2 linked regions of the Arabidopsis thaliana genome follow. The protein of the gene in region 2 interacts with the protein of the main gene of each other region in a biochemical or structural test. Each region holds a gene or a part of one and is shown on either strand. Other genes may lie near its edges.

Region 1 (4,716 bases), on a different chromosome or scaffold from region 2:
GTTATTTATGGTCATATATATTATATCGTTAAATTTTGTCGTAAAAATGGGTTATATGGTCACATTAATCTTGCATGGGACCAAAAGTAACAAGCTAAATTAATAATGTATTCTTTTATTTTGTTTGTCAACAATTAATAATGTATTCAAAATCAGTAGATATTTTGATTGGAGCAACCTTTCGAACCAACGAAAGAAAAGGGGCAATTATATAACCATCCATTTTTATTGACAGAACCTTGATTTCGTAATTATTTAACGAGCTTCTTTCCTTCCTCCTTCTCTTTTTCCCCAACGAAAGAAGCTTCCATGAAACAGCATCAGAAAAAATCAAAATTAAAAACAAATGAAATCTTTCGTACATCACATTATTAACGCGGTAATTTATTTTTATTTTATTCCCGTACATGTCTTTTAATGGATTTATATATATTAAAAAAGATGTTGATTTGGTTTTATGTGAATACTGTAGTACTAATTTATGCCTACCAAAAAAAAATAGTACTAATTTATGTGTGGCTTGGATTTATATATATGTACAAATGGGCACAGCGTGACAGCGAAAATAGTAACGTACGATTTATCTAATCTTTAAAACGTTGTGTGTTTTGGATAAATTACAAAAATAATTAAAATTGATTTTATATTTTGTTGTACGCTGCGGTGGGTAGATCACGTCGTAGATTTACTATAAAAATTGACACTGCAAAATTTATCCTCTTTTTTTTGGTATTAAACTTTAACCAAAACTTCACAAGATTATAAAAGCCTTGCACTCTAACAATGCAATGCGATGATTTCTAAGTCGTCAAATGTTTAAGTCTGAGGAATTGGGACATAATTAGTGTGATTGTGGGTAGTGATCATACATGGAACTAATACATCTTTATAAAATTATACTGACTTTCCAACTTAGCTAAGTAAGAAAATAGTAACTATTAAAAAAAAACAATGAGATAATGTTAAATATTAATCAAATTTGTTTTTCTTTTTTATTTTGGGCAAAAGTTATTTTTTCAAGCGCACTGTTTGTACTTTATAATGTGAAACATATATTGAAAATAATCAATTGAAATCTTAAATGTAGTCATATTTCTTTTTTTCAAAAAGCATCAAATAGATCAATTTGCCCATAAGACTCGATTTATTTTTCCACGAATATGGGAAAAAACAACTGGAGATTTTTAAAAAGGAATGACATATGTTTTCCAAATGTATTAACTAATGATTCCAACATAAGCAAATATATTTTCTAAAAATAGTGAAATAAACAACTGTGAAATGTATACAAAAAGCATGAAATATATTTTCCCAAGTATTGTTTAAATTTGATAAATAATTCAAGTTATTTGGAACAGTGATGGAGTGGAAAAATAAACATAAGAATCATAATTAAAAATGAACGTAGAGTTTAGATAGTGATTTGAAAAGATTAAGGAAGATTAGGAAATGACACTAGTTATAGGACGATTCCAACCTTGAGCAGTGGGGCGGGAGTTGTAGTAACCTGTCAACCGCAATATATAGCCTGGTGCTCAAAATGAGACTTGAACTAATACTAATAAGGGGAATTTGGATGTTCAAAGGACTTAACCACGATTGATGACTAAACAAAGCAGTGGTTAGCTGAATTACTAACTAACTAGAGCTAGCTGCCTAGGCTAGTCGAAAGAACAATTCTCCGTTTTGAGTTGACCATAAAATAATAATATTCAACAATATTGGAGGAAACATGTTTATATGTTCTTGTAATAATAATATTATAGCAAATAGCCGAAGATACGACGAAGCGTATATGTGTGAAATGAGTATATTCTACAGCCTAAACCCTCGGAGATACCAAATCAACACGACAACAGCGACGGGACACCTGTATGGTTCTAATTCAACTTCTTGTCCACATCTTCATCTTCTTCTTCTTCTTTTTTTAATAGATATATTAAGAAAACAAAACAGAAAATCTCCCACGTCTTTACAAAGAAAATAAAGAAGAAGAAAATAAGGAAAAAGAATCTGATAGTAATTGACAAAAATACCCTCATCTCCTACCTCAAGACAGTAATATATATGTAACAACTCGATACAGAGCATGGCTTATCTCTTATCCGAATCCTCCCAATTTGTCTGTCTCTCTTTTGTTTTCTCTGCTAACAGATCTCTCTAAATATCTGTTACTTTTGTTCATATCTTTTTACTTTTCAAACTACTAATTTTCCTTTCGCTTCTTCTATTAATAACAACACTCTCTCTCTCAGACTTCTTTTCTTTTTTTTCTACGGCGTTGATTCATTCGCAATGACCTCAGTTTCTGTGTACCATAATTGACCTAGCAGATTCTGTTTTTAATGGTAGATTCTGACCCGGTGGAATTTCCGCCGGAGAACCGCCGTGGACAGCTCTTCGGCAAATACGAGGTCGGAAAATTGGTGGGATGCGGCGCCTTCGCGAAAGTGTACCACGGGAGGAGCACAGCGACGGGTCAGAGCGTTGCGATCAAAGTGGTGAGCAAGCAACGGCTGCAGAAAGGAGGACTCAATGGCAACATTCAGAGAGAGATCGCTATCATGCACCGTCTGCGCCACCCTTCTATCGTGCGCCTGTTCGAGGTCCTCGCCACCAAATCCAAGATCTTCTTCGTCATGGAATTCGCCAAGGGCGGTGAGCTATTCGCCAAAGTCTCCAAGGGCAGGTTCTGCGAGGATCTTAGCCGTCGTTATTTCCAGCAGCTCATCTCCGCCGTCGGATATTGCCACTCCCGCGGCATCTTTCACCGTGATCTCAAACCGGAGAATCTCCTCCTCGACGAGAAGCTCGATTTGAAGATCTCTGATTTCGGACTCAGCGCTCTTACCGATCAGATCCGACCCGACGGCCTCCTCCACACACTCTGTGGTACGCCGGCGTACGTGGCGCCTGAGGTTTTGGCGAAGAAAGGGTACGACGGTGCTAAAATCGACATATGGTCATGTGGAATCATACTGTTCGTCCTCAACGCCGGTTATCTCCCTTTCAACGACCATAATCTCATGGTTATGTACCGGAAAATCTACAAGGGAGAATTTCGCATTCCCAAGTGGACCTCACCGGATCTCCGGCGACTGCTGACTCGGCTTTTAGACACGAATCCGCAGACGAGGATCACTATCGAAGAGATCATCCACGATCCATGGTTCAAACAGGGCTACGACGATCGGATGTCTAAATTCCATCTAGAGGACTCCGATATGAAACTCCCGGCGGACGAGACCGACAGCGAGATGGGAGCAAGGAGGATGAACGCATTCGACATCATCTCAGGATCTCCAGGGTTCAATCTCTCCGGTCTTTTCGGAGACGCCAGAAAGTACGACCGAGTGGAACGGTTCGTGTCGGCGTGGACGGCGGAGAGGGTGGTGGAGAGGCTGGAGGAGATCGTGTCGGCGGAGAATCTGACGGTGGCGAAGAAGGAAACATGGGGGATGAAGATCGAGGGGCAAAAAGGTAACTTCGCAATGGTGGTTGAGATAAACCAGCTAACGGACGAGCTGGTTATGATAGAGGTGAGGAAGAGACAAAGAGCCGCTGCATCTGGACGAGATTTATGGACAGATACACTCAGGCCTTTCTTCGTCGAGCTTGTGCACGAATCAGACCAAACGGACCCAGAACCAACTCAAGTACATACGACGTCGTAGTTTAGGTATCTGTCAAATAAATTATCCAAATAATAATTAAAAAAAAATATCCCGGGTTATATGTAATTGCTTTTTTTTTTACCCGGAGAATATCTCTGACATAATTATTCAGGAAATTTCTCGACAAATCTTAATTTTTAGTTGGCAAGTATGTATCTTCTTGTTATGTAATCATAATTATATTTTATATAAATGAAAAATAAAATATAAAAAAATGTATTACTTGTTTTAAATGGCCACTATAATACATTAGTAACGTATCGTGGATGTGAAGTAATGCTATGTGTACAAGACACTCTAACTTAACCATTACTTAAGGATTAGTTAACTATTCAACATGATATTTAACATACATATAGATGTAATTTTTAACAACTCATAAAACACAGTCTTCTTCTGCTATTAATTTTGTCATTATGTAAAAAGAAGTGTCAAGATTTGAGCCATGAACTAACACAACTGATCTACTTTCACCTTTTTGATAAGTAAGAGGTTGTCCTTATCACATCATTGTAAAAATATACTATTAAAATAGATATATAGCTAGTGGACTTTATATAATCCTATCGCATGTGGCTGTGATATAAGATCATACACCAATAATTCTCATCAATCATTTTCTTTTCTTGGTATCCACATTGAATCCAATCATCCATAATCCATTAATTTCAGCTTCAGCAGTTATAATTACTGTAATCAACATATATATCACCTTTTCAATGCAATAATTGTAGGCTCCACGATCTATATATTATCCAATTTACTATATACACAATCACATCGTACACTTTTAAAGCACTTAATATGCTTTAATTAATTCCTTAATTGTGGTTATATGTAACTAATTATCCTGTTGAGCATAAAAGGAAAAGTAGGAAACACACAAATGCAAAAATCTGACGAGCACGTTATGTTGGTTAGATTACGAAAAGACAAGAGTCTTAAATTGGGTGGTTTCCTTGGTTCTCCTTCAATCCAATTTGTAGTTGTTGGCCCACTAAAAGATAGCGGATTAAGCAAAACCCTTAGAAAAATATACTCT
Region 2 (4,472 bases):
TGTTTCTACGGATTCATGTTGAGATAAACCGTAAACGAGTTCATAGTTACCTTTGGTATCTATGAATCGGTGAATCCCAATCTTTAGCCATTGTTTCAGAGTTGTTGCCATTATAGTCTACCATTGCGGCCTTTTTATATATCATTCATGTTAGCATTAGGGTTATAATTTCTAAAAATTGATCACCTCTTTAACTTGTGCCTAGAATGTTAGGCAGACCCAGCCAAAAAATTAAGTGGGTGAAAAAACGTTACACTGGTTAACATAATTATTGGGCTTCGTGGCTTCTCTCTCGTTGACGGAGAACTTAACGGTGTGTGATTCCAAGTCGGATTAGAACCTCCGTTATATATCAATGGGAGTTTTGGCCGCTTGTTGCTGTTGAGTTGTGTTGTCTTTGATTGAAACGACGGCGTATACGTCCATTTTGTCCGTGACATATTCGATATGGTTGACGTCACTAGCTGATACAATTTTGAGCTCAAGAGTTGGGTTCTCCACGGCTCTTTGCAACTGTGATGAAGATATTTTCGAGAGATCTAGTATTGTTTGTTCTAATCTTGGGAAAATGTCCAAGTATACAATGATCTATGAGATTCAAGTTAACCAGTTTCTCATTCACATGAATCTTTCCTTTCTCATGTTAAAACTATCTCGCCATTTGGGTTCCCTGTAAAATATGGTTGTCCGGATTTTACTCCAACTAACAAATTTAGATAGAAAGAAAGAAGAAGCAACAAAATAAAACTAATGCCGAGTAAAAGAATCAATTTGCACACTCCAACAGATAAGATAAACCGAACAAGTTTGCGGATACACAAACATGTGAGGTAATGCTGCTTTCAGAACGTATTTATTAAAAATAAAGAGGAGGGTTGTAATAGAGTAATGGAGAAGAAGATAAGAATCAAGTATGAATGATCTTGTAAAGGGTTTTGGTCTTTCTTCACATCCCTGATCATCCATCCAGCTCACTAGGAGTGTCTGTCACTATAGTGTGAAATACAAAATTTGGAAACGTCTTTGTTACGTCTCTACACAAAACACAACATACAAAAACATGTTAGTCCCGCACGAAGAAGATAATAAGGCAAATAACATGGCTAGCTTACTTGAGATGTTGAAGGCTCATGTTCTGTAACAGAGAGGGGTGGCGCAACACAAGACTCCTCCACTCTTCCTTATCAATCTTCCCGTCCAGTTTAGTATCAGCTTCTTCAAATGTCTACACACACCAATCAGTTTTTACATCTCTTGTCAAAGATTAAATATGAGAATCCTAGTTAGTGTCAATGGAGGAGATCAACCAAACCCACCTTGTCTATGATGCTCTCAATCACATGATCAGAAAGGTTCATGCCAGATTCAGCTAGAGTCCGCACAACCATTTGCTTCACCTCCTGTCTCTTTATATAACCTTGCTGATTCAGATCATACAGCTTGAAAGAGACTGCAGAGACAAAAGATGAGCTTGATCCAAGGTTTGGATATGACAAAAAAAAAGAAGGTCAAGTCTCTCTCGACCACTTACACTCAATCTTATCCTCAAATTTAGCATTAGGGTGAAAGACCGAAAGTGAACGAGCAAAGGCTTCAAAATCTAGAATCCCAGTATTCTTGGTATCAAACAAGTCAAACACCTGCAAAGCTTGAAGTATGAGTGTACAGCAAGGAAACTCATATAAGTGAGTTACAAGTCTATCTAATTTACCCTATCAGCAAAAAGGCTTCTCGTTGTGTTCATTTTGAATAGTACCAATTGAAATTGTTCCTGCAATATATTTGAAAGGATCCTAGTGAATGTAGAGGAACAGAGAGATATAGTACTCGTGTCCGACTATGGATTCTTGCATACCTTGTCGATAAGCCCGTTTTTGCTAATGCTCTTGAACAGTTCGTAAAGAGCTTCAATCTCATTCACTGTAACTGCATTTGGTACATAAAGCCATTGTTGGGGTTGTGACAAATAAAAATAGTAAAAGTAAATGTAGGGGTAGACACATACACACAGTGCCTCTAGCCACATCCTTAGGGTTCTGACGAACCTTGGGAGGATCAGCATCACAACAAGTCAACAGAATTAAGGCTAAGTGCTTTAATCCATCTAAACATTGCATCATCATCTCTCCCAAAAGTCACTATGTCCATGCCTACCACAAACAGAAAAAAGGTTAAATCCATTGAATGTCAACAGAAACCCTCTAAACATATGGCATCAAGAAAAAAAATCAAGAATCGAACATAAATTTGCCGATCCAATGGAGACATCAAATGAATCTAGTCTTGACTTTTTTGAGAGAAGAGAAGAAGATGAACCAAAGCAATATACCTATTCTTTTTTTCTCGTTAGCGTGTAAAGAAGCTTCAGATCACGACTTGTTCCAAGAGTGTTTATTTTTTTGACCACGATCTGATATTTCTCTCTCTCCATAAAAGTTTTTGTTGGCTACAGAGACATGGGAAAGGATCTACAAGTTCGTTGGCGTAAATAAGTCAACTCTTAGTTGGTGACCACTCTAACAAGTTGACATTTCGAGAGAGAGAGAAAAAGGAAGATACTATGATTCATTCATCATAACTAACAAGATTCAGAAGACCAAAAAAAGTCTGTTTTAGGGAATAACATTCACAAAACAAGCCTGAAGGTGAAGTTGATACGCTTTGGCAAAGAATGAATCCAGCCCTTCTGACCACCAACTATCTATGTTTTTCAATGTCAAACTTTGTTGATCTTCTCTGTTTCTTCTTTTTGACCTCTTCCTCCTCACAGGTCCTTTGTAATTATTTAACAGCAAGCTGTTGAGTCAGCTTCCAAGAAGCGCTTTGTAAACCTGACGAGACAAAAGATAAATGTTGGTTCCAAGAACACAAGCGACTTCTCGCATATAAGAGGTTCAATTTTTCTAGTTGATACGGCCAAACCAACAAAAGTCTCTGGATTCTGAAGACGAACCAATCAAAAGTGAATGGTAAAGATGTTAAATTTGCTTCCTCTTTTTTTATATACCAAACAACATACCATTCAACTTTATGATGTAAATTTTATTGTTTGTTTTGTTGGGATTAGTTTGAAATAAGTGTTCCCAAGTCAGCACAGGCTTATACTGCAAGACCATCACAATCTCACTTCCACTCTGAATCACAGATATTAACTAACTAGGCTAGGCTCTCTCTATATGTACTCAAGGATTATTTCCTTCTCTATCTCTATCTCTTATCTTGGTTGTTATATGTTTCCATCATCTATGAGGAATAGTTGAGTGGTGGAAAACAAATATCAACCAAAACAGAAAACTTGATATAGCCATAAACTCAACTGGTGGGAAAAGAAAGACATTGACCACAAAAACATAAATCTGGCCACTTCAAAGTTTACATCTTTTGAAACATAGAGCATTACCAAACGAGTGAGTTAATGAATTGAATACAACATCTATCTAATAATTGGTGAGAATGATGACCATTGATGTGCCTACCACTGATTAGACTGAGACCAAATGTGGGGTGTTGGGGGGTAAATTCAACCAAATCAAACTATAGGGTAATAAATGCAATAAAGAAAAAACAAAGAGATGAAAGTAAAGAGAGAGCAGAAAATGTGAGTGGGGGAAGATGGAGAGTGGTATGGGAACAACAACAATTGATGCTATGACAAACAACAACAGCAAGAAATTTGTGTGAGAGTAGAGAGTCTTGCTTCAGTTGAATCAAAGATTGGTCCTTTTTTTTTCGTTTTCTCTTTCCTGCTTTTTTTGTTTGTAGTTTCTGATCTCTCAGGAAGGCTTTTTATAAATTTGCCCTCAATTTCTCCGTCCCTACTACTCTTTTTGATCAATTTCTACGGGAAAAAGCACCAATCTTTAAACCCGGGCATGTCCTTGTAATCGAGTATGTTGTGTAAGTGATGAATTTGTGGTGAGATCTGGTGAGAAGTTTCCTCTTTTTTCTCAGATTGCGGTAAAAAAAAAGAGTTTTTAATAAGGAAGAGATTGAGATTAGATTTTATCGCTTTTGTTTGTGTGATATGGGTAACGTGAACGCCAAAAGAAAACCGAAATAGTAACAACGCTTCTGCTGTTGAAGACGAAGACGCTGAGATTTGTTCTCGTGAAGCTATGTCTGCTGCTTCTGATGGTAACCATGTCGCTCCTCCTGAGCTTATGGGTCAATCTCCTCCTCATAGCCCTCGAGCTACTCAGTCTCCTCTCATGTTTGCTCCTCAGGTTTTTGTTTTGGTTTCAGATTCGATGTCTTAATCTGGAGGATGTGATGAAAGAGAGAGATCTGTAGCTTTTAAAGTTTGTGTCTTTTTTTAGGTTCCGGTGCTTCCACTTCAAAGACCTGATGAAATTCATATCCCTAATCCTTCGTGGATGCAATCGCCATCTTCGTTGTATGAAGAAGCTTCTAACGAACAAGGAATCCCTACGATGATCACTTGGTGTCATGGAGGCAAGGAGATTGCTGTGGAG

The links.
Region 1: the proteins of CBL6 (region 2) and SR1 form a complex in vitro, tested with the Arabidopsis thaliana proteins (one study listed by BioGRID).

What each region holds. Positions count from the first base shown.
Region 1 is NC_003076.8:312,381-317,096, reverse strand, and holds SR1 (serine/threonine protein kinase 1), read left to right. Parts: upstream 1-1,691; 5' UTR 1,692-2,345; coding exon 2,346-3,674; 3' UTR 3,675-3,907; downstream 3,908-4,716. UniProt on the Arabidopsis thaliana protein: CIPK serine-threonine protein kinases interact with CBL proteins. Binding of a CBL protein to the regulatory NAF domain of CIPK protein lead to the activation of the kinase in a calcium-dependent manner.
Region 2 is NC_003075.7:9,241,547-9,246,018, forward strand, and holds CBL6 (calcineurin B-like protein 6), read right to left. Parts: upstream 2,367-4,472; 5' UTR 2,330-2,366; intron 2,151-2,329; 5' UTR 2,124-2,150; coding exon 2,006-2,123; intron 1,927-2,005; coding exon 1,856-1,926; intron 1,772-1,855; coding exon 1,712-1,771; intron 1,641-1,711; coding exon 1,532-1,640; intron 1,451-1,531; coding exon 1,317-1,450; intron 1,226-1,316; coding exon 1,113-1,225; intron 1,035-1,112; coding exon 959-1,034; 3' UTR 753-958; downstream 1-752. UniProt on the Arabidopsis thaliana protein: Acts as a calcium sensor. CBL proteins interact with CIPK serine-threonine protein kinases. Binding of a CBL protein to the regulatory NAF domain of a CIPK protein lead to the activation of the kinase in a calcium-dependent manner.